Daphnia pulex: one gene and its partner. Each later gene encodes a partner of the first gene's protein in a complex. Links are inferred from orthologs where the notes say so. Each region holds a gene or a part of one and is shown on either strand. Other genes may lie near its edges.

The links.
Region 2: the proteins of cleavage stimulation factor subunit 3-like (region 1) and cleavage stimulation factor subunit 1-like are in contact, whole or in part, in a crystal structure (PDB 6B3X), measured with the Homo sapiens proteins. The link is inferred for Daphnia pulex from reciprocal best matches to the Homo sapiens genes CSTF3 and CSTF1. Residues at the interface, in NP_001317.1 of Homo sapiens: Tyr581, Pro582, Lys583, Pro584, Asp585, Thr586, Gln588, Met589, Ile590, Pro591, Phe592, Pro594; in NP_001028693.1 of Homo sapiens: Arg118, Glu216, Ala217, His226, Pro227, Ser228, Asp230, Phe231, Thr240, Arg242, Leu243, Tyr244, Cys251, Phe252, Val253, Ser254, Cys255, Tyr270, Ser272, Ser273, Ala274, Asn275, Gly291, Val292, Ser293, Asn294.

What each region holds. Positions count from the first base shown.
Region 1 is NC_060019.1:11,045,670-11,054,243, forward strand, and holds cleavage stimulation factor subunit 3-like, read left to right. Parts: upstream 1-4,356; 5' UTR 4,357-4,507; coding exon 4,508-4,726; intron 4,727-4,787; coding exon 4,788-4,885; intron 4,886-4,949; coding exon 4,950-5,214; intron 5,215-5,279; coding exon 5,280-5,594; intron 5,595-5,649; coding exon 5,650-5,841; intron 5,842-5,900; coding exon 5,901-6,314; intron 6,315-6,391; coding exon 6,392-6,480; intron 6,481-6,544; coding exon 6,545-6,735; intron 6,736-6,798; coding exon 6,799-6,933; intron 6,934-6,999; coding exon 7,000-7,220; 3' UTR 7,221-7,279; downstream 7,280-8,574. Other genes in the region: uncharacterized protein LOC124191294, read right to left, coding at 1-130; uncharacterized protein LOC124191292, read left to right, coding at 1,470-2,412, 2,511-2,918, 3,106-3,695; retinol dehydrogenase 13-like, read left to right, coding at 8,251-8,321, 8,388-8,574. UniProt on the Homo sapiens protein: One of the multiple factors required for polyadenylation and 3'-end cleavage of mammalian pre-mRNAs.
Region 2 is NC_060027.1:1,881,827-1,889,974, forward strand, and holds cleavage stimulation factor subunit 1-like, read left to right. Parts: upstream 1-2,922; 5' UTR 2,923-3,044; coding exon 3,045-3,127; intron 3,128-3,208; coding exon 3,209-3,336; intron 3,337-3,405; coding exon 3,406-3,611; intron 3,612-3,668; coding exon 3,669-3,896; intron 3,897-3,963; coding exon 3,964-4,124; intron 4,125-4,181; coding exon 4,182-4,332; intron 4,333-4,413; coding exon 4,414-4,507; intron 4,508-4,572; coding exon 4,573-4,704; intron 4,705-4,767; coding exon 4,768-4,877; 3' UTR 4,878-4,944; downstream 4,945-8,148. Other genes in the region: protein cueball-like, read right to left, coding at 1-51, 150-465, 522-886, 952-1,222, 1,286-1,487, 1,555-1,779, 2,568-2,811; isopentenyl-diphosphate Delta-isomerase 1-like, read right to left, coding at 5,013-5,467, 5,524-5,762, 6,924-7,096; WD repeat-containing protein 82-like, read right to left, coding at 7,658-7,690, 7,763-7,855, 7,919-8,038, 8,101-8,148. UniProt on the Homo sapiens protein: One of the multiple factors required for polyadenylation and 3'-end cleavage of mammalian pre-mRNAs. May be responsible for the interaction of CSTF with other factors to form a stable complex on the pre-mRNA.

The DNA of each region.
Region 1 (8,574 bases):
TTTCGTTCTGCAAACAATCGACTGCTGTCAGCGGAATAATCGTCAGTTCTCTAATGTGACACAGGGATTGGATTATTTCTGTGTAAGCTAAGGCTTTCACAAAAACGTGAGCAGTAAATCCACTAGGCATGGTCCCCACAAGAGATAAGCAGCATTCTAGGAAAGGCCGCAGCGAGATGGGCGTAAAGTGCCAGGCAGTTCCGATGACCAAACCAGTTCCGAAAAAGAATCCTCCCGTTGTTGCAGCAAAACAAAATGGTTGGGCGCTGATCGCATTTCGTCCACACAAAAGATCACCAACACGGAAAGAGTAGATATATGATCCAATGGTGAACCAAAAGAACACGCTGACGACCACTGTGAATCTTTTTCTATCTGTCGTGAACATAAACATTTTTAAGCAACACACAGATCCATTAAAACTAAACTAATAATGTGTTGAATGAACATCAAGTTGTCACACACACACACACTAAGTTTAAAATTAAGCTTAACCTTACTTCTGTGACTTTTAAGACTGGACTGATTGGCAGGCCTGAGTTATCACTGCAGCAATTCTGAAATAAAATTTAAAAAAAGAAATGTTATTTACCGGATATGAACGGAAACTCTAAAATGCGCTAGAAACTATTATGTAATAACTTTTACCAATTAAATATTTACATTTTTTCACTACAAAATGTTGTAAATCGTTAGGAAACTAAAGCAGTAAGAATAACGAATCGATAGTTCAGGTAAGTAAAATAAGCTTAGTTTTTCGATCCGCAAATCATAAAACACAGGATTTTACAACACCAATCCTTTATGAAACAACAAGCCTACATTCATTAATTTTTTCAATACCACTTGACACTATAATACTTTGAACCTTTTGATCATATTTATCAATGTAAATAAAGAACGAATTTTTTCACTTGGTTTTTCGGAAATCTTTAGCCTCTTAATCTAAATTTTGTAACAAGATATACTTCACACATGTGTTTGATTTACATTTGACGATACGTACTGTTATTTTATTTTTTAATATTCTAATCTTGTTCATGGGGGGGGGGGGGGAAATAGGTCATTTTACTCCGCAAGAAACGTTTCTTGTGAAATAAAAATGACGTCTAAACGGTTATCAATTGACAGTAGATAAAATAATGTCTTCGTTCCCAAAAATTGGTAAACAGACATCGTTCCGAATGGGATTGGCTGATAAGCTGCAATAACGTACTTTTCTATACCCCAAAATCGCTGAAACCCTTTCGTCATTCAAATTGTTATGTTACCATGGACTGCTAATGAAAAATCTAGACCAAGGACTTCCAAACGAGTTTTGATCTAGTTTTTACAGCTAGCGGGTCTGAAGGAAGAGCGTGGTCGGCATAAAAGAAGCTCGCAGTGTTCAAAATTGTGGCAGCATCGTCGGATCTCTCACCATTTGAAGTGCTACTTCCTATCGTTTATAACATAGGCATTAAGACGACATGTCTTATACACTGACTCCAAAAGCGACTTTCTTCCTGTTGGTTATCTTAACATTGACCCTTATTGAGAGCGCTGTTTCGGTTTCACTCACTAAACGCCATATTCCAGGCCGAGTTCCAGGTCGCCCAAGAAAGGTAGTAGGCGGATTCTCACCGATCGACGTGGACGATCCCAACGTCAAGGAAATAGCCGAATTTGCTACAAGTGCCATATCGGAGAGCAGCAATTCTGGGCCTTTATCACTAATCAAAATAGTCAAAGCTGAATCCCAAGTAGTGGCCGGAAGGAATTATAAATTGATCCTAGAGCTCAGTAGCGTCGTTGACGGGGCTAGCGAGACCGAAGAAACCCTTTGCGAAGTGATTGTTTTCCATCAGCCATGGACGCAAACACGGAAACTGAGCAAGTCAAACTGTTTACCAATTAAAGTAATTCATTCTTGGACCGAAGCTCGTGAACTGGGAGCTTCTGTGAACTGTCAAAAACCACAAATCGAAGCTGTTCCTGACACTCCGGCGATGATGGTCGGTGGCTTCTCGCCGATCGACACCGACGACGCTTCAGTCAAAGAAATGGCTAATTTTGCTACAACTAGAATATCAGAAAGCAGTAATTCGGGGCCATTAGCATTGATCAAAGTTGTAAAAGCAGAATCGCAGGTTGTAGCCGGTAAGAATTACAAACTAACTCTGGAGCTGGGTAGTGCTGCCGATGGAGCCGTAGGAAGTAATCTTATTTGCAATGTACTCGTTTTTCATCAATCGTGGACTCACACACTTGAACTGAAGGAGTCCAATTGTTTGGCGCCGATCGAAGCCGAGACTGACATAGTAACTGAAATACTGCGAGCTATTGACGGACGTGAAGACTTGTCGAGAATGGCTGGTTATCTAAATGCGTCTCGTGAAACCTTGATAAAAGAGTTTCCTCTCACCAGTTCTGGTAATTACGAAAAATGTTCATAGTTGCATTTTAGAATTAAGTGAATTTAATATTAAATACTAACTATTTATCCTATTTGACTGAACGGGAAAAAATAGACGGAAGAAAATTGGGCTACACGTTATTTGCACCCACATCGATGGCTTTCATGATGCAAATGCCGCAAGACGCTGGCGATCCTCTCGTAATGGACGCCGATTTTCGCCGGTCGGTACTGATTCGCCATTTTGTTCGCGAGGATGTTTCGTCGGACGATATAGGGAAATTGGACAAGCTCGTCATGGCCGACTCTAACGAGGTTATTTTCACAAGCAAGAGCGCAAATGAATTATGCAACCTACCTCCAATAGACAGCGATGGATCTGAATGTGAAGCATACATCCCGTCATGGACGTTCCAGCCAAATTCCGGCAGATGTGAGAACTACGTATACGGTGGCTGTTTCAAGACGAAAAATCTTTTTGAAACAGAAGAAGAATGCCAAGCCGCCTGTGATCCAGCAGTCCGTAAGTTAGTTATTTAAATAAAAAATTATTAAACATTAAAAATGAAATAAAAACATATTTACTGGATTGATTTGAACTTCTCTAAAAAAAAATCGGCTGCAAATCTTCCTAAATTCAATTAAAATTTGTTTTAGGATGATTTTACAGAAAAACTGAATCACTGCTTATTTTGACTTCTTTTTTCTAGATCCTTTAACACAGCTGGTAAACGAGACAGAAATCCAACAGGTAGCCATTCAATTGGAAAAAGATTTGGGAACCATTTACGCCATTGATCGAGTTTTCATGAGTGGTGATGAAGTTGGCGAAATCCTTCGTATTAAACATCCTAGTCCCGGTCCATTTGGATTTTTCGGAATGCCAATTGAAATACAACCAGAAGTCAATGAGAACATTCCTGCTAGAATCACTGGCGGATTTTCTACTATCGACGTGGACGACGCCTACATAAAGGAGATCGCCGATTTCGCCACAACCGCCATATCTGCAAATAATAACTCAGGACCTGTCCGATTGATTAGGATTATCAAAGCAGAATCGCAGATTGTGGCCGGAAAAAATTTTAAATTGACTCTTAAACTTAACAGCGCTATCGACGAAGTTGATTCCCTCCTGTGCGATGTGGTCGTATTCGATCAATCGTGGTCACAAACCCGACAATTAAAAAAATCGAATTGTTTGTCGATAAATACTGTCGTTTTATGGAACCAAATTCTCAAACAGGAAAATGACTCGTTACCGAATTCACAAGTTACAGAGTTACATAGTTTGTTTTAGGTAACCGTTACCAAATAGCAAATACAAACTTGGTCAACGTACGCTGACGAGGTTGTGCCAAACTTTCTAGTTCCTTGGTTTAAATAATATACCCCCCCCCCCCAAAAAAAAACCCCACACAAACACATGTTCATTTCTCGATAAATGTTTGTTTAAATACAATGCTTTTCACACCTGCAATAATTGTTGAAATTGCTGCTAACGTTGGATAAAGTATTTCCCTATTACAACATTAATTTTGGCAGATAACAAAACTAACATTATAGTATCATCACCAGGGTTTAACCTGTAAGAATTGCTGGTCACGTTGCAATCATCTTGATTTGAGTAGTACAATTCAAACTGAAAATAAATGAAACTGATGTTTACCTACAGAGATGGGTGCCATTTTCGAGGAAGTATAACAAGGACAGACCTGTGCTCACGTAACTTCACATGAAATAGACCCTATCCTAGAATGAATGATTTCTGCCATCTGTTTGTTTCTCAAATCTCAGAGTTAATGGCAGAACCGCAGAGGCAGAATGCAAATGCACACACCCTGCTATATTATTTTTGCAAGTTCTCTCACTGACGACTGACTCATTTCTGAGCAGTTCTCTTCCTTCGAATTTTCGTACCAACCAGCCGTAACGCCATCTCTGGAGCTTGCCGGCAGGCTCTTTTGCAGGCTTGATGCTTGATGCAGACGATGTTATTTCAAAAGCAGTAAGTTGTCAAGTGTGACTTGTTTGCGATTTTGAATGGAATTGTAGAAACGTGGTTCATCAATTTATAAACAATTTTCAGCTTACTGGCATTAAAATAAACAAATGGCTGATAAATTAGCAAGAGCCGAGAAGGCTATAGAATCGAATCCATTTGATTTGGAAGCTTGGGGTCAAATTTTGCGTGAAGCCCAAATACGCAAGATTGATGATGCTCGAACTTACTTTGAACGCTTGGTGGCCCAGTTTCCGACATCAGGTCGTTATTGGAAAATGTACATTGAACAAGAAATGCGAGCAAGAAACTATGATAAAGTCGAAAAGGTAGCAATTAATTTAGCACATTCTAATGAAGCCATTCAATCTTGCTCCTCCCTATTTTTAGCTGTTTCAACGATGCTTGGTCAAGGTTTTAAACATTGAACTGTGGAAATTGTATGTTAACTATGTGAAAGAAACCAAAAGTGCTCTGCCCAACTACAGGTACAACAAACTTGAATATACAAACACTAAATATTGTTTTCTTTAATCATACCAATGTTCACAGAGAAAAAATTGCTCAATGCTACGATTTTACACTGGACAAAGTTGGGATGGATATTCAGTCATACAGTATTTGGAATGACTATATTCACTTCCTCCGTAATGTTGAAGCTGTTGGATCTTATGCTGAAAATCAAAGGATCACGGCTGTGAGGAAAGTGTATCAAAGGGGTGTAATCACTCCAATGCTTAACATTGAACAACTATGGAAGGATTACATTGCTTATGAATTGGCTATTAACCCCATGATTGCTGAAAAGATGCAACAGGTACAGTTTTTTTTTTTTTAAACCTTACCCTAACACTTTTTAAACACTTATTTTCAATTATTTAGGAGCGCAGCCGTGATTACATGAATGCTAGAAGAGTTGCCAAAGAACTAGAGGCCTGCACTCGCGGTCTTAACAAGGCTATGCCTTCGACTCCTCCATCCAATCATCCGGAACAAAACAAACAGGTGGAACTGTGGAAGAAGTATCTGGCTTGGGAGAAATCGAATCCCCTCCGTACGGAAGACCAGTCACTACTCACTAAGAGAACAATGTTCGCTTTCGAACAATGTCTCCTATGTCTGGGACATCATCCTCATGTTTGGTATGAAGCTGCCCTTTTTCTACAGATTAGCACAAAAACTCTTTCAGATAAAGGGGTAAGTTAAAGCACCAATTTCTGTCAATATTCTTAAATTTAAAGATTCTTTTTAGGATGTTACGGCTGCCAAGAACTTAGCTGAAGAAGTCTCAAATATTTATGAACGATCAATTAATGGGCCCATGTCACATAATAGTTTGCTTTATTTCGCTTATGCGGATTACGAAGAGGGACGAATTAAGTACGACAAAGCTCATCAGATCTATACAAAATATTTGGAGCAGCATGACATCGACCCAACTTTGGTAATTTTATCACTTTTTACATTGTACATACAAACCCCTTATGTTTAAAACATTCGCAGGGTTATATTCAATATATGCGATTTGCAAGGAGAGCAGAAGGTATTAAATCGGCTCGACTAGTGTTCAAGAGATCTCGCCAGGATCCCCGCTGTTCTAGCCATGTTTTCGTAGCTGCTGCCTTAATGGAATATTATTGCACCAAGGACAAAAATATCGCCTTTAAAATATTCGATCTAGGCCTCAAACGTTTCAAGCATCAACCTGATTATCTGCTTGCTTATGTGGAATTCTTGACCCAACTAAATGAAGATAACAACACTAGAGTTCTCTTTGAAAGGATTCTTTCATCAGGTTCCCTCACTTCTGAAAATTCGCTTGAAATTTGGAACCGCTTCCTCGAATTTGAGTCTTCTATTGGTGATCTTTCGAGTGTAATCAAAGTAGAAAAAAGACGCAACGCCGTTCTCGACAAGGTATTTTTTATTTTATTTTTTTTTTCATTTAGTGTTGTGTATTTTTGGATTCATTTCAATTGTGTTATTTATTTTAGCTTAAGGAACTGGAAGGTAAAGAAACAGCACTTCTTATTGATCGGTATAGATTTGGAACCCTCTTCCCTTGCTCAGCCGCGGATTTAAGGTGAGTTTCTTATGTTACTTGATAACTTTTTTCTAATATTTGTTTTTAATGATTCTCTTAAAAGGGCTTTGGGATACTACGAAGTAGCAGAGCTGAGTAGTAGTCAAAATGCTAAAAACCTCCTTGCTAGAGAGGAAGAAAGTAGAAAACAAAGCACAGAAGCGGCTGATGTTACCATGTACAAGCCCGATTTTTCTCAGATGGTTCCGTTCAAGCCGAAGATGCAATGGACCCCCGGAGAACACATTGCGCCTGGTAAAGTTTCTACAAAGTATTTCTAGATTACAACTTAACGAATTCTTTGATGCGTTTGGACAGGAGGAGGATTTCCGCTTCCACCTGCAGCCTCTCAACTGTGCGGAATGTTACCGCCTCCGCATTGTTTCCACGGTCCTTTTGTAGTAGTCGATCCAGTAATGGAGCTTATTAAACATTTGAATATAAGCGAAACAAGTAATACTTTGATTTCCCTTGGCTGTATTATATTTTTAAACATTAACATTTATTGGTGTATTTTAGGTTCTCTTCTTGCAAATACAGCGGAAAATTCTAAACTATTTGACATGGCTCGAAGTGTTCATTGGCTTCCGAAAGATACGGGTGTCGATCGTCCACAAAAAAAGAGAGGGGTGGGTGAAGAGTCTGAAGATGAGGAGCCGATCGCCATTAGTGGATCTCAGCCTGGTGGACCGCCACCAAATGATATTTACAGGAAACGACAACAGAAGCGAGTCAAGTGATGAAAGAATTTACTTGATCAATATTCAAAACACAAATACACACATAATTGTTTACACCATCCATAATCAAATCATTTCTGATAAAAGTTTTCTAGTAATTTTTGAACTCGCCACAACATGACTTCATTAGTACCAGAACAATTTTCTGGTCTGTAAGGGGGGCCTACTACTATTTCATTTAGCACTAGTAAACAACCATAATTATTTTCATTCACTGGAATACGGCTTTCATGAAACCATTTTTTCAGGGCATCTTTCAGCGGCTTCCAATCTTCAGTATGTTGGGAGCTAGCTCCAGGTCCTTGCATTCCATTGTTCTCTTGCGTAAGGGTTCTGGTATTGGTTGATGTTAATTTTACAATCTTGAGATACTTAATTGAATTTCCAATAACTAATTTTATGCTTCTTTCTTCTTGGTTACAACGATCGACCATCATAAAAAGACTAAAAATGAAAGATTCAAAAGAAATGTTAAACTATGGCTTCATATGCATGCATTGTTGTCTTAAACTTTGTGGTTTCTACTAACCTTCCACTTATTGGATCCATTGAGTAGATTTGTCCAACAAACTTGACATGATTAATTGTTAAAACTTCGACTCTGCTACCGACTAAATTTATATAATTAGCCGGACATTTTTCTAAGGGATATTGTAACACACATCCTTCTGCAAGTTCCATTTTCAAAACTGTTATGATGCGAACGATGACCTAGTGCTCCACCATACGGATAAAAATTGCAACTAAAACTGCCTTATTGCAACTTTTGCTATCCTTAAATTTCTTAAAATACATTCATTAAAAAATGATTTCTCAACCAGCTTCAGTTTTATATTCTAAATTTGGACTGGTTCAGACGAAATATAATTTAATTCGTGAACAATCGTGAATCTGTTTGAAATCATGGTCATGGTTGGGGTTGCCCATGGGCAACCATCGCGAGCAGCCGAAATAAATGTAAACAGTTGCTTCGAATTTTTACCTTCTCAATTTTCTATCGAAACCTAAAAGGTTTTAGAAAACATAAACCATGAAGATTCCTGCACCTTATTTATGGTTCTCTGCTGTTGGAGCATTTGGTGGCGGGATCATACTGGTCAAGTAAAAAAAATTGTCTAAAGTTCAGCAAATCTTGCTGCTAGACCTAAAATATTCATGTTGTTTTAGAGAATATTTCAGTGGAACTAGATATGAAGGTAAAGAAAAATTAGACGGAAAAACAGTGATTATTACTGGGGCTACTGATGGAATTGGAAAGGAAACAGCTAAAGATCTAGCTAAAAGAGGAGCAAAAGTATATATGGCCTCTCGTGATATGAAGAAGTGTGAAGAAATTAGAAAAGAATTTGTCCTT
Region 2 (8,148 bases), on another chromosome or scaffold:
GTCGCTCCATTGGCCCGGAAGTGACGCACCAGATGGCGGTTCAGTGCACGGCTAACAAAGAATGAAACGAAAAAATTCAACATAAACTCTTTCACAAAATAAGTGAAAAAGTTGGAAAACAAAAGTATTCAAATCACCAAATACCGTACCGTTTCACAGATATTCATATTGCAGCAATCTTCGATGTTGATGACACGCTCAGCTGCTGGTCGGTAGTTCTTCCCCTTGATGACTCGCCTCTTGAAACGCGATCGTCCAGAGCTTAATCGCCATACGCGGAAACTCAGAATAATAACAGCGATTATTAGAATGACGCACATGACAGATGTGCTCATCAATGCTATGAAGATTTCGCTGTTCTCAGCCTCAGTAGCTGTTGAGAAAGATGACCTCCCGCAACTATTTCGAGACGTATCAACAGTGTCTGTTATTTCACAGCGGTCACCACTATAGTTCTCTGCACAACTGTACAAGACTTTCGTTAATTATTGCCAACGCATAATTAATTTTTTAAAAATTACCTGCAACTAATTTCGTTGTTGACAAAAAAGCAATGTCCCTCATTAAAGCAATAGCCGATACACAATCCGGAGTCCGTTTCGGAAACTGGGGTAACATGGAACTCTTGAGGCGTATTATTTGATTCAGACGAAGAATCCATTGCCGGTGTTGATCGGTGTTCCGAATGATGAATTAGCTCTGTTGTAGCTGCTGAATGTTGGATATCGATCGAACAATGAACTGGTTGGCGCTGGAGTATGATGACAGCCATGGGTTTATATTGGAAACGACGTAGAGAAACCGGTCCATCGATAGATCCTTCTTTGGGCAGGGACCAGAGAGACTTCTGGTCCCAGTCTGTCCAGTATATGTCATGTTCTCCAACCTTGTCAATTTAAGAAGGAAAATAAAGAAATCTTATGTCAAACGCGAGTAAGAAAAAATAAATACCGTAAGACCGAAAATAAATTGCCCCCGCATTTCATGGCCCTTGCCTTCGTACAAGAGCTCTCTGTCCGATCCGTCAACTTTGCTTCTTTCAATTTGAAAAGTTCCATGACGAAGGTTGTTGGCCCAGTAAATCATTTGCTGACTAACATCCAATCCCAATCCGTGAGGCATAAAAAGTCCTTTATGTACGATAACCTCGCGGTGACTACCATTGAGATAGGATCGTTCAATGGTAGGTCTATCTATATTCCAATTGGTCCAGTACAGCATTCTGAAACAGAATAGAATAATTTAAAAATGTTACATAACTACAAACATTTGATTAACAAAATACCTTGTACAAGGATCAGATATCAGTCCTCTTGGTTTATCTCCTCGGAGCAGATGGACTAGTTCAATCGTGTTGTTTTCGTAGACATGAAGGTCTTCACGTTCAACTACGAATCGGCGAATCGACTGTTTGGTACCGTCAGTCCATAACAGTGTTTTCTCCAGATTATCATAGGTCAAAGCTTCAACCGACTCGTTGGTTCCTCCTACTCATCACGTTCACAAACATTAGCATGTATGGACAGATATCAAATCGCAAAATAAAAATATTACTTTCCACGACATCATGGACAGAGCCTTGAGCCTTGATCCCATCGAATGTGACGCTAAACACGTGCCCTCGTCGATTACGCTTGTCTGAGAAGAAGAGTTTTTGTGAAGATGGATCGTAAGCCAGGGCGACCAGTACGGAAGCATTGTAGTTCTCCAATTTGAGTGGATTGCTTTGAGATCCATTGGTCAGGATTTCAATTTGATCGCCGACAGCAACAATTAAATCTGGAAATGGAAATAAGTGGTTAAGAGACCATTCCGGAACGAGTTATCCGACTCTTGTCTTGCGATCGATGGACTGGCAATCCGATATGCTCTTATAAAGTCTACGTGCTACAAGTTCTAGATGGGAGCGATACCAAAGTCACAGCTACAGAATGAGTCTACGTGACCGAATCGATGAAATGATAACGGATGTTTTAGGTTTCTTGCCGACATTTTGCGAAAAACAGAACACGTTATTAAACTCAAGAATCGGTTTAAATCCGACCGATATCAAAAAGGTAAACTAGTGGTTGTTTTGTTTTGTCTTGAATCCTAATGTTTCCACGTCGGAAATTCGTGGAACTAGTTAATATCTTCTACGCACGAAATTTTGCATTTTACTATTATTAACTTCCTGCAAATAGCAAGGTCGACTAATGACGTGCTCAAGGAGAAAATAGCAAAATATTGACAAACATGAATGCAGACAAAATAAGTTTCAAGGACCAACTACCGGCAGACGATATTTAGTCAATATCAGAAGTAACACGTTTCCTAAGGTATTCCCCGGATATCACGTGAGAATTGCATTTTTATTACAAGAGAAAGCTCGCTGGTTTGTTTTTATGATGTTGTCAATGGATTTTTATTTTCTTTTAAAGCCTGTGTGAGAGCAGAATTTTTTGTGTAGTCAGCTGTAGCAATAGTCATATTTCGATACCAGTGTCGTCTGCTACTACGGACTACGTGACTTGGCTCGGCATTTCCCATTTAATAATCGTATGGTAGGCAAAAATGTGTATATTTACCGTCGTAGGATTTGGTTGCGGCAGCAAGTGCGAAGAAAATCCACACTAATAAGGATCGTGAATTCATATCTCGATCCGTAGGCACAGAAGACAAATTTATAAAATACTCATTGATAAAAAGAAACGATCTTAGTTGAACAAATGATGAGTAATATTCTTTGTCTTCACCGGCCACCGAGACACCATGTACCGGGAAACCTGCCAAACCAACTAAATGTAGTCCGGCCGAAATTCTTGAGATCATGCGCGATGCAACCTTATTCCCTGATCTACTTTGTACTGCCGTGTCTCGTGGCTGGTGCAACACTAAACACTCTGGCGGCTAACAATGCAACTTCCGGCAATGCGCCATCTCGTTTGTTATCTTGAAATCGTATCCTACTTGTCGGCATTTTCTGTGTTTACACTGGTTCGAGAAAGACATAATCTTGTTCTTGTATTTTTCTCGTTCGATTTTGAATATTTAATTCACACAAAATGAAAGACTCCGAAATTTTGGAAGCGATGGAATCTAAAAATGCGATAAAGTTTAAAGAACAAATTTATCGACTCATTATCAGGTAGTGTAACATAGTTAAGTTTGTACTCGAGTCATCGTACGCGTGGTTATATTGTCTTGACGTGTTTTTCCCTTTATGTAGCCAATTATTTTATGATGGTTTCCAATCACTGGCTGTCAGTCTATCATCAGCAGTTCAAGCACATCCAACATGCCCCCCATCCGATCGACTCAATCATATTGTCTCGCTAGGACTTCAGCATGAACACAGTAACTCGATATTCAATGATAGGAAATACAATTTTATAACCATGTTTAATCTTTGGTAATATTTTTCAGCATTGAAGAAACCATTAAATAAAGTGGAGATGCTTTTGGGTCCAGGACTGGATTTGGAATATGAAACTGATGTTCAAACCTCAGCTCCAGAACCAGCACTTTATGAAACTGCATATGTAACATCCCACAAAGCGCAATGTAGATCTGGGGCTTTCAGCCCTGATGGTCAGTTAGTTGCCACTGGAAGTGTTGATGCATCCATCAAGGTGACATGAGCAACACCTTTCTACAATTTCATTACCTAATAACAAGTTCAATTGTAGATCCTTGATGTTGATCGAATGTTGGCTAAATCATCCCCAGATGGAGAAATGGCAACTGATCAGCAAGGCCATCCTGTTATCAGAACTTTATATGACCACGTAGAAGAAGTGACCTGTCTGGAATTCCATCCTCGTGACGCCATTCTCGCATCTGGATCTCGCGATTGCACTGTTAAATTATTTGACTTCAGTAAAGCAGCGGCAAAGAAAGCTTTCAAAACACTATCAGTAACAAAAAAGCTTTTCTCGTGGCCCTTACAGTTCCTATTGAATTTTTATATGATTTGTTTAATAGGATTCAGATCAAATTCGTTGCATGGCTTTCCATCCTACCGGAGACTATTTGGTTGTTGGTACAAATCAGCCCGTTGTACGTCTGTATGACACCAACACCGCTCAATGCTACGTCTGTTCATTTCCGTCTCAGTATCACACCAACGCTATTACCTCACTTAAGTATTTATTAATTGGAAGAAAGCATTTGTTAAACAAATTATAATGTGTTTATCGTAGGTATTCTTTTGATGGCAAACTTTATGTATCCGGTTCTCGAGATGGTTCCATAAAACTCTGGGACGGAGTGTCTAACAAGTGTGTCGGTACCATTAGCCAAGCCCACGACGGTGCGGAAGTTGGATCTGTTACATTTTCTCGCAGTGGCAAAGTATTTACACTGTCGTTTCTTACCCATATTTATAACTGGTTTTAACTGTATGTCAATGTTTTTTTTTCTCTAATTAATCAGTATGTTCTTTCATCTGGCACGGATTCATCTGTTAAACTTTGGGAGCTCTCTTCACTACGCTGCATTATAGCCTACACTGGAGCTGGCACAATGGGTAAGATAATTATTACAAGTATGAGGCTTATATTCAATAATCAAACGTAATTATGGTTTATGAAGGCAAACAAGAGCACCGTGCTCAAGCTCTATTTAACCATTCGGAAGATTTTGTCATGTTCCCCGACGAGGCAACAACATCCTTGTGTTGTTGGGATGCTCGGACAGCTCAACGCAAACAGTTGTTGTCGCTTGGTAAGGAGGAAAAAATTCAATGGATAAAATAATTCATTTAATATCTTGTTGATATTTTTTTAGGTCACAATGGTGCGGTCCGTTACATTATCCATGCGCCTAGTACGGCGGCTTTTCTCACCTGCTCAGACGATTACCGCGCCAGGTTTTGGTACCGTCGCAACCCACATTAGATTAAGCTGTCAAATTGTACATGAATAATTGAATAAATGAGAAAAGCTACACTTTCATCTGAATAAATAATTTTGTTTCTTGTTTGGATTGAAACCGTATAGTTTCTACAAATGACGTCATTAACGTCAGTGCATTTAGAGGCTATGTATAACGGGGTCATACTCTATTCTTTCGAGATTATCTAATTGGTTCCACCATACTTTAAGATGGCTGTTGAGAATAAGTTTGAACCACGGTGTAAAGGGGATGTTATTCTTTTCGAGGTAGCCTTGAAATTCTTGAAAGCCGGATAGGGAGACGAAAACAACGCGGCTCACTTCGTTCGGGTTGGGTTTTACGGGAACGTCTTTCCTCAAAAACAGGATATAATCCACTTCATGTTCACCCCATTTGGCATCAGAAGGTGCACCATAAATGATTCTGGTGAGAATTTTAAAATCAGACAGCTCAATACTATCTGGACTGATGCCCAGTTCAATTTCAAGCCTTCTTCTAGCAGCTCTTCTGATCCCTACATGGTGAGCTTCTTCAGCTTCATCAGGTGTTGTATTATGTAACGGATGACTGCAACAGGAATTTGTATAATAACCTATTACAAATAACACATTTACTAGACTATAGTTACTTTGCTGTAGTCATACAAACCAGGAAAAGTAATTTTGTGATTGGATCTCTGTTGCATCAGTAGCTCATTTTTGGTATTAAAGAGAAAAACACTGAAGGCCCGATGAAGAGGTGGGAGTTGACCATCTGGACCAAGTAAATGAGCTGCTTCCTTTGATAAATTCCCAACTGCTCTATCATTAGTGTCGACGGAAATGCATTGCTCCTGAAGTAGGAGAGCTTGAGTAGGATCCATAGCTAGATGTTGGTTCATTCTGACACTAGAAAATGATGACAGTTCGTTTAACATAGACCAATTTGAAGCACGATTCAGAATAGAAGAAATCTTTCTGAGGACTTTCCCTGCCATTCGTTAAAATATCAACAGAAACGAATACCAAAGTGGCTAATAGAAAAAAAATACTGGGAAATGAGAACTAACAGAAAATCAAACTATCCCACGTGAGCGTAATGGTGAGACTGACTAACTGAGACGTCTGCTCTACAGTAATCAACTAATCAGAATCGGGATCACGGATTCACGATGTAGGATCTAGGATAATAGACAAGTTCGGGATGCTGAGTTGCACAACCGCAAAATTAGGATCGTGCGCCAACGAGTTTTTGTAACGTTGTGGGGATAGTAGAAAGCGGGTTTTTTATTATTTAAGCATAGAATTACTTATCTAATCTTAGAAATGTTCAGGATTATCGTTGTTTAGAACATTCTGCTTTTTATAGAGTAATTTGAAATGTATAATTCAGCTTAGTTTACCCATTAAAATTAAAGAAAGTCCAAGCCTGGGATGCTGTTTAGTCTTTTCTTGTGTTTTTTGACAGATCTGCTGACAAGTGACAAGCTCAAACACACAAGAAAAGACTAAACAGCATCCCAGGCTTGGACTTTCTTTAATTTTAATGGGTAAACTAAGCTGAATTATACATTTCAAATTACTCTATAAAAAGCAGAATGTTCTAAACAACGATAATCCTGAACATTTCTAAGATTAGATAAGTAATTCTATGCTTAAATAATAAAAAACCCGCTTTCTACTATCCCCACAACGTTACAAAAACTCGTTGGCGCACGATCCTAATTTTGCGGTTGTGCAACTCAGCATCCCGAACTTGTCTATAGTATCTCTTTTACAAAATAGTATCTCTTTTACAAAATAAACCCACTTTCCAAATTACTTTTTTTTAAAGCACAAGCTATATATTTATCTACTTTTTCGTAAACGAGTTTTCTGTATAATTTTATGAAACCTGAAAAATGACACCAGTTGGAAAGTAATAGCTACTGATCCAGTGATATGTGTCATTTAAAATTTTCGGAGAATTCCATTCGTTCTCTTTAATTAAGTCTTATGACTATAGTGGCAGAAACAATTATTTTTCAAATTAACTTTTATTAAATAACCGGAGAATTTTCAATTACTTACGAGTAGTGGCAAGGTTCGTTGTTAAATAAGTAAATTTCTCCATTTAGGCGCGACTTTATAAAGGCGCATTTCAAACAATCTAAAAAGTTTCTTTCATAACAAGAAAAATATAAAGGTTTTTTTCTAAAGATGAGAAACTTTGTCTTGATGACAGGGATAAATTTCCATACCATCTGGTGGCGTGGCAGGGTTAGCTAGGTCGTTCTTTTTTTAGAAAATTAGGACGTAACGAATGAAAGGTAAACTTTCAGAGAAATGTATGTGTGTATAAGGCACTAAGGCAGCCTAGTATTCGCTTGCTTTCTCAAATTCAAACCCCAGCAAGCGGGAACGTTGGTGACCCCATCTATAAATACATACAAAAACAACTTTGACTTACAGCACTCCTTATTTAATATCGGATATCAAGAAATATATGACACAATCGCATATGGTCTTTAATGATCCGCGTCAACCTTTGACATTTGTGCTACCTGCAGATAAAAATCGACCGGGTTCAAAAAAACATTTATTTATGCTTTATCATCAAGTTTTCATAAGAACACGGCCCAGTATCGCGATTGCCGATTGGCAAGTTCGACAGGAGCAAAAATTGAACTGCCACAGATACGAGCCAAACACAACTAAATTTCAGAATGATGGCTATGAAGAGCCCAAGGATGAGCTGGACAATGATAAACAATTAAGGATACGACTTTACATGTAACACTTTAATAAATTATGCTACTGTCGTTTTATGAATTGTCCTCCGAAGGAAGCCAAAAGGCCTAGAAAAAGCAAGCAGGAAAGGAGAAATATGCATTATTCAAAATGAAATGTTTTCAAAAATCTGTTCTTACCATGTTGTTGCATCCAGAGGCAAGCATCATATACTTGGGATTGAACTGAATACACTGCACTGGGCCGTTGTGATCAGCATTAAAAACGCATATCTGATCAGGAAATAGAAGTTCAACATTTATTGAATTTTAACATCTTTCATTTTGTTTTGCTACCTTATGACCCGATTCAGCATGCCAAACGTGAACTCGACCGTCCGTTGAACCGCTGAATACAAACTGGGAATCGGGACTGAATGACGCTTCGAGTGGAATTTTCTTATCGTTAAGATGACCCTGATAAAGTACAAAAATAAAATGAACACATGTTTTTTCTTAAATACTGAAAGGCTGCATACCGTCAATGTGTGGGTTGGGTTGCCGTGGAAAGCATCTACTAGTCGAAT